Linked DNA regions of Ovis aries. The protein of the gene in region 1 interacts with the protein of each later gene in a biochemical or structural test. Links are inferred from orthologs where the notes say so. Each region holds a gene or a part of one and is shown on either strand. Other genes may lie near its edges.

Evidence for each region.
Region 2: the proteins of NR2F1 (region 1) and GTF2B form a complex in vitro, tested with the Homo sapiens proteins (2 studies listed by BioGRID and IntAct). The link is inferred for Ovis aries from reciprocal best matches to the Homo sapiens genes NR2F1 and GTF2B.
Region 3: the proteins of NR2F1 (region 1) and AHR form a complex in vitro, tested with the Homo sapiens proteins (2 studies listed by BioGRID). The link is inferred for Ovis aries from reciprocal best matches to the Homo sapiens genes NR2F1 and AHR.

What each region holds. Positions count from the first base shown.
Region 1 is NC_056058.1:90,688,241-90,692,511, forward strand, and holds the start of NR2F1 (COUP transcription factor 1), read left to right. Parts: upstream 1-1,460; 5' UTR 1,461-4,271. UniProt on the Homo sapiens protein: Coup (chicken ovalbumin upstream promoter) transcription factor binds to the ovalbumin promoter and, in conjunction with another protein (S300-II) stimulates initiation of transcription. Binds to both direct repeats and palindromes of the 5'-AGGTCA-3' motif.
Region 2 is NC_056054.1:66,102,699-66,106,489, reverse strand, and holds part of GTF2B (transcription initiation factor IIB), read left to right. Parts: intron 1-3,492; coding exon 3,493-3,626; intron 3,627-3,791. UniProt on the Homo sapiens protein: General transcription factor that plays a role in transcription initiation by RNA polymerase II (Pol II). Involved in the pre-initiation complex (PIC) formation and Pol II recruitment at promoter DNA.
Region 3 is NC_056057.1:26,815,082-26,818,872, forward strand, and holds part of AHR (aryl hydrocarbon receptor), read left to right. Parts: intron 1-2,305; coding exon 2,306-2,429; intron 2,430-3,355; coding exon 3,356-3,486; intron 3,487-3,791. UniProt on the Homo sapiens protein: Ligand-activated transcription factor that enables cells to adapt to changing conditions by sensing compounds from the environment, diet, microbiome and cellular metabolism, and which plays important roles in development, immunity and cancer.

The DNA.
Region 1 (4,271 bases):
AGCGCCTCTTCTCGAAAAGCTGCGGTTTCTTCTTGCCCCTTCTCATATGCCCTGCAGGAGCGGGATCTGTTCCCCTCCTTTGAAAACCCGAGAGTTTCCACGGCTCAGAGCACCATCTCCAACAGCCGCCCGACCCCCTTTCCGTAACTGAGGCCGCCGTGGGGGGGGGGGGCCGGGGGCGGCGGGGGCGCACCCCTCCCTCCCTTCCTTCCGGAGAGGCAGGAGGCTTCGCCTGAAGCCTCTCGAGGCCTCCACTTCTTTCCCAGCACCCCCGGGGCACGCCGGATCCCCCCTGGGCCTCTTCCAAGTTTGGAAGCTCAGGGTAGGGGGGCCGGCAGGAAGAAGCCCCTTAGAGAGGGTGTATGGGCCCCCACGGCTCTCGGGGAGCCGCCGCTCGTCCTCCAGCCCCGCCTTAGCCCCTAGCCCGCCCGGCCAAGGGAAGGCCAAGGCAGCTCCGCGGGCTCCTTCCCGCGCCCACCCAGCCCTCGGGCGCGGCCCCCGGCGTCGGCTCCTCCCGCCCCCTCGCGCCCGCCCTGCGCGCCCTCTGACGCAAACGCGCGCCCCTGCCCTGCGCGGAGAGCTCGCTGGTCGGTTTTAATTGCGGCTCTTCCTTTCATGCACTCGGGCTCAGTCCTCACCCCCGGGGGAAGTGACCCCTCCCCGCCCCCGCCCCCGCCCCCGCCCCCGGCCCCGTCCCCTGGTTGCTGGGCTGGCTGCAGATCTCGGGCTCTCTCGCCGCCGCCGCCGCCGCGGGTTCTCCGCTCGGGAGAGCGGCTTGGGGGTCCCTTTTAATCCGCTGACGCTCTCACCCACATCAAACAGTCAGCCATCGATCGCGTTACATTAGGGGGATCCCGTTGCAAACGGCGTCCGCAGGTGGGCAGCGGGAGCCGAGCTCACCCGGGCCTGGCTGCAGCCGGGCAAGGCGCGGGCTACGAGCCGACTCCACAGCGGCTCCGGCTTGGCACCCGCCAAGGGGGTTTGGGGCGGGCGGGGGTTGAGGGGCGGCGGCGCGGATTGCCCAACCTGTGGACCCTCCGTCTGCCCCCCCTCCTCCAAGAGGCTCCGCAGCCTCTTCCCGCTGGTGGGGAGGAGGGTGGCAAATGGAGATGGGAGGGCAATCAGTTTTGAATCTGGGCCGATGCTCGGTGGGGCGCGATCCTCAGCTCCGGGGCGGCCCCGCGGGCAGCGATCCCTGTTCTCCACGCCGCCGCGGGACAGAGGCCGGGGGGAGGGCGGCTCCGGAGCAGGCCCCCCCGCGATAAGTTCTTCTCGACCCTCCCCTCTGGCTAGACCGAGGGCACCGCCCCCGCCCCCCGGCCTGCGGAACCCGTGCGAGCAATCGCTGCCTCCCGGCCTGTCCGCGTTGCAACAACCACCCCGAGTTCAAAAGAAACGATAATCATCGCCTTACTTGCCTGGTGCGGCAGAGATGGGCCGGCTCTGGCTTCTGGCGCCCAAGACTTCCGGTCCTGGGTCCGAGGGCGGCCGGGCCCGAGAGCAGGGCGTCCAGGCGCGGGGAGCCTCCGGTTCCCTGGCGCTCGCTTCGCGCTGCCTCTTGCACTCGCTCCGTCTCTTTCCAAGTTCTCTTTTCCTTCTCCCGGTCTCCCTCTCTGCCTGCTTCCTCTGCCCTCGACTGCCTGCCTTTGTACTCTATGAGTAGGAACATTTAGAATTCATATGAGAAAACTCATTCTTTTGCTTCCTTCTTTCCTTCTTTTTTTTCCTCTTTCCTTCCTTTTTTTTTTTTTTTTTTTTTTGTTCTTTTAATCGTGTTCTCGTTTCACCTTTTAACTGACCAGGAGACTTCGGCGCGATTATTTGGGGAGACGAGAAAGGGCAAGGAGCTCTCGCTGGCCCCCCGTCGCCTCCCCTGAAGCGTACAATGGGGCGGCTGCTTGCAGAGTGCATGGACTGTGTCCCTTCATTATTCGAACTGGAGGGGCTGCGGGGCAGCGGGGCGGGGGGGCAAGACACAGGAAAGCCTTTATTCTGCTCTTTCGCATCGTCGCTCGACACTAAGCGGTCGCCAGGTTCCTGACTCTCAGTAGGACTGGAGAGAGACCGGGAAGCGCAAAACGCACCCCGAAGGGGCAGCGCTTCCCCCAAACCCCCTCCCTGATGACATTTAAAGGGAGAACGAGTATTAAAACACACAAACCCTACCTCCGGCAATAACAGCGTGGCCTTTTTTTTTACTCCCACCTTCACCTGAGGGCGTGTGGAGGCTCGGGGGTGCTGGAGCTGAGACAACTTTGACGCTCTCCAGAGTCGAGGGGCGGCAGGCAGGCGCGCAGCTCCGCACCCCCCGGCGGCTGCGGGCGGCGGCTTTGTCACTCGGCGCCGCTGCGCGCCCGCCTGAGCCTGCCTAGGGGAGCGATCGCAGAACGAGGAGGTGGTGGGGTGGGGGGGAAAGATGCGAGTGTGCGATTGGAGAATATGTAACTAATAGAAGTATCATTTTCCCTCAGTACGATCTTTCAAGGAAGAAGGAGGAGGGAAAAAAAAAAATCCATTGAAAGAATTTTCAAAGTGCTGTGTCTTGGTTTGCAGAAAAGGCACAGGGCTGCGTGCCGGGAGGAGGAGGCGGGGAGGAGGAGGGGACCCGACCGCGCGTCTCCGGGACGCGGCTCCCGTCCGCTAGGTGGCAGCCGGAGCCAGCGATTCCTGCAGGCCTCGCGGCGGGACCCGCTCCTCCCGCCCGGGCCTCCTCTGGCGACCAATCGCCTTTGGGAACCGGGGGTCTCTCCCCTCTTTCCCTCTCTCTGCCCCCTCCCTCTTCCCCTATCTCTCTCTCTCTCTCCCCGTCCTTTCTTCCCTCTCTCGCCCCCCCCACCCTCCTCATCCCCACCTCCCTTCCCCATCTTCATCCCTTCTCTCTCACCCTTTTCCCCCTTTTCCTGGGACTCGGACTCGGCCCGCACTGACCGCCCCCCCCCCCCGCAGCAATATGAGAACTTACTACTCTTTTATTAACAATTATTGGAGCGTTCTTTGGAGGTTAAAACAGCCTGAGGATATCAAAAAGGGGAAGGAAAAAAAGGAAAAATCGGGGGGGGGGGAGTTTATTTTAAACATCACCTTTGGGATGAAGAGGAACCATTGATTCGGACTGATTTGGGGGGCAATTTCTGCGAATTCCAGGAGTGCTTTTTGTCATAATTGAACCTTTCATTTTAAAACCAAAATATACGTTGGATCAAGGTGGGGGAGAAAAAAAGCCAGCAAGTCCCTACTTTGTTTCTTAAAGGAATATAAAATGAGCAGAATCTACTCTAGGGCTGTGCTTGTATGTGAAAACACAAAACAATACAAACCCAGAATATTTTTCAGGACTCGTTAGAACGGTAAGAGTTTTAATTCCCATTTAAAATTTTCCTAACATTTCCAATGATCGTCTTCATGCTCATAAAAGCTAAATTTAAAAACTTTTCAGAAGAAAACAAAATAATGCCTGATTCTCTTTTTTTACCCATTGCAAGGCATTCTTCCCCTCGCCGTCCCTTCCCCCTCTGGTGTTGGTGTATGTGTGTGTGTGTGCGTGTGTGTGTGTGTGTGTGTGACCATAGACGACCCATACTAATCAGGTCTCAGAGTAAATAGCAGCGCAGGGCGATCTCAATGTAAATTGCGCTTGTCAGAAGCACACCCCCCCACACACACACTTTCTTTCCTCCTCCCCTCGCCATCCCCGTCAGTAGGTAGCTGAGAGGGAGGGGAAAGAAAAAAAAAAGAAAGAAAGAAAAAGAGGAGGGGGGAGGGGCTCTCCAACCAATGGCGTGCAGGAGGCTTGGCTAACCTTAGCCTCCCATTTTCTCTCCCCCCGATTCAGGGCTCTGACCAGTCAGTCGCCTTTGATTATCAGTTGCCAGCAGCCCTTCTCTTGGCTCCTTGACACGAGCTCCATATAAGGCAGCGATCTCCATAGAAACGTGTCAGTTTCAATAGTAGTGTCAAAGTTCACTATATACAGACATTCGCACAGATCCCCCTTTCGGAAACACTGCTCTGCGAGTCCTCCCGTTTAAACGCATTCAATTTTGGGGTCTCTCTCTCTTCTCTCTCTCTCTCTCTCCTCTCTCTCTCTCCTCCGCCTCTCTCTCTCTCTCAATCTCTCTTTCTCTCTCCTCTCTCCCCTTTCTCTTTTCTTACATATTCTATTAGTTGTTTCCCCGTATTCTTCTTTTTCTCCTTTTTCTCCCTCCTCCTCTCTTTTACTCCATTCCTGCAGAAGAGTGAGGGCTAAACTTAAAAAAAAAGAGAGAGAGAGA
Region 2 (3,791 bases), on another chromosome or scaffold:
CACTGCTTTAGAATATAGTAAAATGTCTTAGTTAATACTCTCTAGACACCTTTCTGATAATGTGGATTGAGAACTGTGCATGTGTGTATACATATTGAATCTCTACCTTTTTGGATGGGAACTTATCAGAGTGTTAAGAGATCACATAATATAGATGGAGGGAGGAATAGTGCTATTATATATATTGTAGTAGTGCTATGATTTTGCTGTTAAATTTTATATATAGACTTTTTATCTGTTGTTGATTTTATAACAATCAGGGTGTGGTTTAAAAAGGAACTTAAAAGTTGGCTTGTTTCTCTGTTTGTAGAACAGTAAAAGGCTATGTGAGGTCGTATGTTATGCACTTATGTGCTAATTATCGGGCTTCTGCTTGTCAGAGGTTGACTATACCTAAACAGTACGGCTGCCTTGTACACTACTCCCTGAAAAGACTCTAATGCAGTTTCCTTCCAGAGCAACGTTAAAAAGTGCGACCGCATTTAGATGTGCTTCAAGAAGATCTTTTATGTGTTCTGACTTTTTTTCTGAATGATCTGCTGTATTTCTTATTACTCATGCAGATAATCTGATGGTCTAGTTGTAGCTTCATGATGTGCTATTTGAGTTATTTTGGAAATTTTATTTTCTATAAATGCTATGTTTTGAGCAGTAAAGTATAAAAAGAGGGAATGACTCTGAGCACAAACCACAGATTGTTGAATGAGTCATGTAGACCATCCCCACGTATGTGGAAAAATTACATCACTACCCAGTTCTGGGCTTTCTATTTATACTATCCTAGGCCAACTTTTTTTTTTCCTCTCCTAATCCAACTTTTTTGAGGCAGTAAAAGCAACCACAAAAGAAACTCATGGTAAGTTAATTTCTGGTCAAAAGGAAAATGCTATGAAGTGAAGCATACTACTAGCAAACTAGTACTGTATCTTTAGTGTTCCAGAGAGACTGAAAAGATGCTAGTAAAGATAAGGAAAGTAGTCTCTTCATACATCCATTGTGTTAATTAAAGTGTTGAAAGTTAATGATAGCATTTGATTTTTTTTACTTAAATTTTTAAGTAAATCTAGATTTGAAGGCTGCAGTAGTTTTTGTTGTGTGGTTTTATTTTACTGATTAGTAAAGTTAGATTCACTTTTCTTCCGTTGAAAATATGAAGAATGGAGACTGGCAACACTTTGAGGAGTGGATACTATTGAAAGGGCTAAACTATGTCTAAAAGTTTTGTTTTGGTGTTTTGATTAGAAATTTAGTGAAAAGAGCTTGTAATGAAATAGACACTATAATTTTAATCTCACAAAAAAAGTATGTATACAGGTGAATGGAAGAGAAAATATATGCCAAAGTATTGACAGTGGCTATCTTTGGGTGTTGGGAATACAGGTAATTTTAATTTGCTTATATAACTGTTTCTTGTAAGCAGCTACTCTTCTGTAAAAGGAACAAAAATCAGTCTCTTTAGAGTAGTCTCTCTGAGACATGGGCCTTGCTTAGTATTGTAGTAAAACTCTGCACAGTTACAGATTTTACATTAATGTCAGGTAAGTTTTAAAACTCATTATTAATTTACATAATTAGAATTGCTTCTCATGTTTAGTGATGTTTGCCCTTATTAGGAGGAAACAGAGAAATGCATCTTGACCATCCCATTAATGTAACTTTTTCTCCTTATTTTGGGCCGCCTGCTGAATCTCTGATCCACAGAAGTTGCCTTACCTGATTTAGCTTCTGCTTTCCTTGGCCATTTTCACTGCCTAAGGTGTGGCAAGTGGTGTTCCTATCTCTATCGCACTTGTCTTATGACATGGACATGTGGTAGTCCAAGTGAGATCTGGTTATTCCTAAGTGATTTGAGTATTCAAAAGAAGAAAAAGTCTGCCCCAAATCATCAGGAATGATTCTGTTATGTATTTACTTGTTTTCTAAACTAAAACCCTAAGGTCAGATCACTCTACTCTGTTTAATAACTCTTAGTGACCCCATGGACTGCAGCCTACCAGGCTCCTCCGTCCATGGGATTTTCCAGGCAAGAGTACTGGAGTGGGGTGCCATTGCCTTCTCCAATAAGCATTTTAGTTTACCATATATAAAAAGTTCAGTAGTCTGCATTGAGTTCCTCTGTTCTCTCCCCACCTCCTTTGCTGTCCTACATACCAAATACTGCAGCAGAGCACTCTGATACTTGTCTAGTATGGAGGTTAATGTTTTACAACTGGTGCTCTTCTTATTCAGAATTAATAACAAACTGTCAGAATGTCATCTTATTTTTATAGCATTAAATAGCTAATATCAAGCAACTTACTTTGAACTGGTTTTTAAGCACTTCATATGGATTGAAACTGTATTAATTTATTTAAAATAAGGTAATTGGGGAAATTTAAAGCTGAATCATTGCACTACTGTAGAAATGAGGAAGTTTGTCCAAGGCTAAACAGCAACTGATAGAGTCCATACTGTTAACCATTATATTAATTGACTGTCAATATCAACTTTTTTTTAACTACTGAGATAACTTATTTCTTCCATTCCTTTCTGTTTGCTATATATAGGCACAGATGAAAATGGCCTGGTTCCTGCTTTTAATTTTATCACATTGGTGAAAAGCTAATGTTTTATAAATGCAGTATAGAACAGATTCTGGAATCCCATTCTCATTTCAGTTCTAGTTGTGTGATGTTAGGCAAATTAATTTTATTTTTAATGTGGCAATAAAAGTGATACCTATTTTTATAAAGCTTTAAGGATTGAAAAATAACATTTACAAAGGGCACAGTGACTGGCAAATGCAGGTGTTCTTGTTAACGCTTGTCTGTGGTAGAGGTATTACCAGCTGTTGAGCATTCCCCTCAAAGCAGTAATCTACACCAAATCTACCTGTCTGGTTTCTTGGCCTGGCGTTTTTAGCCACTGCTTCTTTGTGTAAAAATAAAAGTTTACCTACCTTTTTGCTTACTGATTCTAGGCTTAAGTTTATTCTGTATGAATTATTTGACCCCCAAATATTTTCAATATTTTCAAATAGTTACTAAAGTATCCCCTTAGGCTTAGTTCTTTGCAGAGCATTGCCCATGAAAACTTTGTAATTTCTTTAAACTGTATATTAATAACATCATGAACAGTGTTTTCTGGTTTTTATTTCTGTGCCTGTTGCACGTTTTGTTCAAATCTTTATTCTTTTTTTTTCAAATCTTGATTCTTCATTGTTACTTTATCTTTTTCTCACTTGATTAACTTTATTTTTGTCTTTATTTTGTCTACTTCTTTATTCCAGGAGTTAAAATACAGCTAATCATAGCATAATGTTTAAAGAGGGTTATTATAGAACTGTCACAATAGGAATACTTTAAGATAAAAGTCTGAAGACAAGATACTTAAGCTGAAGCCTGATGTTTGTGTTGAGATTTTCTGGGAATAAAAGAAATAAGTTGGGCACTAGGCTGTGTTAAATAAATCCTATCTTGACGAGACAATTCAGATTTCCATTTATATTCTTAGGTGACCGAGTTATCGATGTAGGATCTGAGTGGAGAACTTTCAGCAATGATAAAGCAACAAAAGATCCATCTCGAGTTGGAGATTCTCAGAATCCTCTTCTGAGTGATGGAGATTTGTCTACTATGATTGGCAAGGTAATAAATCCATTTGGCAGGAAATGCCAGGTGCAGACTGACCAAAGACCTGGAGATTGGAAACTTCTCAAAATTATCAGTCACTGTTCCAGGGAGGAATCTCTATCTGAGACTAAGATCAGCCACTAAGACTAGTGGTACTGACGGTTGCCTTGTTTATTTCTT
Region 3 (3,791 bases), on another chromosome or scaffold:
TGTGTGGATTATAAAAGTTTTCCTGAAGGAAATGGTATTTAATCTGAAGAGATTGTGGGCTCCAGATGAGTGGACAGTTGTGGAGGGAATGCAGAGAAGAGCTACCCATACTCTAGGTAGTAGGCTGGAAGGCCTTGAAGGAGGTAAGTGTGTCTGGTTTAATGTTACTAAGTATATGGTGAATATGGATTCATAAGGTGTTCTGTGTATTTGAGGGGCGAAAACATCCAATATGATTTGGGAACAGTTTGTAAGTACCCTTGAATGCTCGCTACTGTTACATATCAGTAGTTCTTAATTTCTAATGTTCTTAAGAATCACTGAAAAAACGTCATTAAATTGATGAGTGTCAGTCCCATATAATCTAATTCAGTATGTCATAGTGGAGCCCATGTATTTTATTTCTAACAGGCTCAACAGGTGATGCCAAGACTGATGTCGAATAACACTGTCTTCACTGTTATATGGCCTGAAGTTTAAATTATGTCATACACACTATAGAAGCCACTAAATACTTTTGTTGAAGGGAATGCATGTGCTCCAATCTATATTTCATAAGATAACTCTGGCAGTTGTGTAATGAATGGCACAGAGATGACTTCATGTTAGAAGAAAAGGTTCATAGGAAGGTTCAAGTCCGGATAGCTAAAGAGGTGGAATCTGGCTCCTGACACCAGACCTAAGTATTTTTGAATTTTAAAGGAAATGTATTAATGTCCATGGAAAAACCTGTTAGAAACTTCATTACATAACTAGCTTAATTATTATTTGATTGATTCATAACAGTTAAGAAATAAAAAAGCTTAGCTATTTCCCAATCTGTTTTTTTTTTCTTCATATCTATACCTAACCTGGATATTCTTTAAGAAAACATTTATATCTGACATTGATGGTGGTTTATGGCACCATTTCTAAAACTGCAGGTCATGACTCATGAGTGGTTGATGAAATTGATACAGAGGATCACCAGTCATTCTTTTTAGCTGCTTCAAATAAAATAGGAAACACAATATTGTCACACATAAAAGCTCTCTGTGGAACTTTTTTCCATGTCTATATGCGCACAAACAAACACACACAAGGGATGGAAAATATTTCTTGCTGTGAGTTGCAATAAAAAAGTTAGAACACTAATGGTGGAAAGGCTAAGGTCTCAGCACTGTAGTAAATGCTGAGAAGCAAGAGGTGGAGGAAAGACTCTGACCTTTGTAAAGGCAATATCCCTTAATCTTAGGGAATCTACTAGAAGTCAAAATTTCATGTCAGGAAAATTGTTAGAGAGCAGGGAAGGAAATATGTAATACTTCAAGCTGAGGGAAGTCAAATTTAACTGAATGTTCAGACAAGTTTTGTCAAAGGAAGATTTTTTTTAAAAATTTAATTGGTGGAAAATTGTCCTACAATGTTGTGTGGTTTCTGCTGTACAACAATGCAAATCCGTCATAATTTTATATATATGTACCCCCTTCCTCGTAAGCCTCCCTCCCCTCTCCCCAGCCCTCTAGGTCATCACAGAGCGCCAGGCTGGGCTCCCTGTGGTGTGTAGCAACTCCCCACTGCCGGTTCTGCACATGATAGCATGTATGTATCAGTGCTCTTCTCTCAGTTCGTCCCTTCTGCACCTTCCCCTGCTGTGTCCGCAAGTTCATTCTCTACTAGGTTCATCAGTACTGTTTTTCTAGATTCCATATATATGTGTTAATATATGATACTTGTGTTTCTCTTTCTGACTTACTTCACTCTGTATAAGAGGCTCTATTTTAAAAGATCAATAAATAAAAATCAGCAGAACCTCACGTGTTGCAGTTAAGGAACAGGAACGTGACTTATTTGACTAAAAAGTGGTTCACATAGGGAAGCGATGACAAATAACCTTTGATTTGTCAGCTGTAGTGCTTGTGTCGTTCTAGCTTTTCTTGTTTTTAATTCCAGGAGAGCGTTGCAATTGTTTGATTTGCATACATCACCACTAAAAAGCACCCTGTAATCGAGCAACTAGGTTTTGAAATTAATAAACCACATTTTTAAAAATCAGTGTATGCGTGCTCCGTCACTCAGTCACATCCGACCCTGCAACCCTATGGACTGTAGCCTGCTAGGCTCCTCTGTCCTTGGGATTCTCCAGGCAAGAATAGTGGGGTGGGTTGCCATTTCCTCCTCCAGAGGATCTTCGCAGTCTGGGGATTGAACCCACATCTCCTGTGTCGCCTGCATTGGTAGGCAGATTATTTACCACTGAGGCACCACGGACGTTCATTTAAAAATCAGCACTACTTGTTAATTTCTTTGTTTCTTTTTTCTTTAGTCTGATGTCATCCATCAGAGTGTGTATGAACTGATCCATACCGAAGACCGAGCTGAATTTCAGCGCCAGCTGCACTGGGCATTAAATCCCCAACAGTGTCCAGACTCCGGACAAAGAATTGATGGTAAGAATGTTTACCAAAAGGTAGTGTTGGGAATTGAATTCTCTGAAAGGAGGCAGAGAATCTTTAGGGGCATGGAACTCCACAGTGAAGATGAGGAAGAAGGGGAAAGACATGAATCTCTAGCCGTGGGCCAGAACCAGGTCACAAGAAGCCTGATGACCTAAGGAGGACCTCGAGAGATGACAGCCATTGATGAATTCCAAGTGATAAAGTATAGCCATATACTCAGTAATATAGTGTATAAAAATAATTCTTACATTATTGTGAAAGAGGGGATGGAATGTACAAGGTTAATTCTGGAGTGTGTATAGATTGTTCTGGGTTTAAAATGCACCAAATATAAAAGCAAACTGGCAGATGGAGGAATTAAAAAATACTTTTTTCAACAAAAGCAGTGTCTTCATACATATGTAAAAATGTTAAAAAGGAGAAAAAAGGTGTTAGAAAATATAGAAATTGTTGACAGTGATAGCTCAGTAGAAATAAAAGCAGCTGAATAGGTAAAGTTCTATGTAGTAAAAGTATTATTCAATAAGTTTTAATTTCTTTTCACTAGCTTCTCTTCTGAAAGTGATTTTTTTTAATAATCAGAATATAGCTTTGGTTTAGAAATGAACACAGATTTCAGCTATTCAGACACTTGTGCTGTGCTGTGCTAAGTTGCTCAGTTGTTTCTGACTCTTTGTGACCTCGTGGACTGTAGCCTGCCTGGCTCTTCGGTCCATGGGATTCTCCAGGCAAGAATACTGAAGTGGGTTGCCAGGCCCTCCCTCAGGGAATCTTCCCAACCCAGGGACCGAACACATGTCTTTTATGTCTCTTGCCCTGGCAGGTGGGTTCTTTAGCACTAGGACTACCTGAGAAGCCCAAATACTTAATTTTTAGCAAAACAGAAAGTAACTTTGCGTTGCTATTTATTTCTATAGAAGCTAATGGACTCTCCCAGCCAGCCATGTATTATGACCCAGACCAGATTCCTCCAGAGAACTCTTCGTTTATGGAGAGGTGCTTCATCTGCCGACTCAGGTGTCTGCTAGATAATTCATCTGGTTTTCTGGTAAGGTGTAGCATCTTATACTGGCATTTATTATGAAGTTGTAGAAAATTAAAAAGAAAAGAGAAACAAATCTGAATGTATTTGAGTTTGGGTTATAAAAATCTACTTAATTAAATAGTTTTATAAAGGAAAGTAACTTTTTAAAAGTCTTTTTAGATTTTTGAAAATATCTTCCGTAACTCAGAGCCTCTATCCTTTAGGATGCAGTATAACAAAGACTGAATGGAATAACATTGACCATTGCATTTTGCCCTTCTTTTGGACTTTGTAGGTATAAGATAATTATGTGGCGCTTTTTTGGTGGC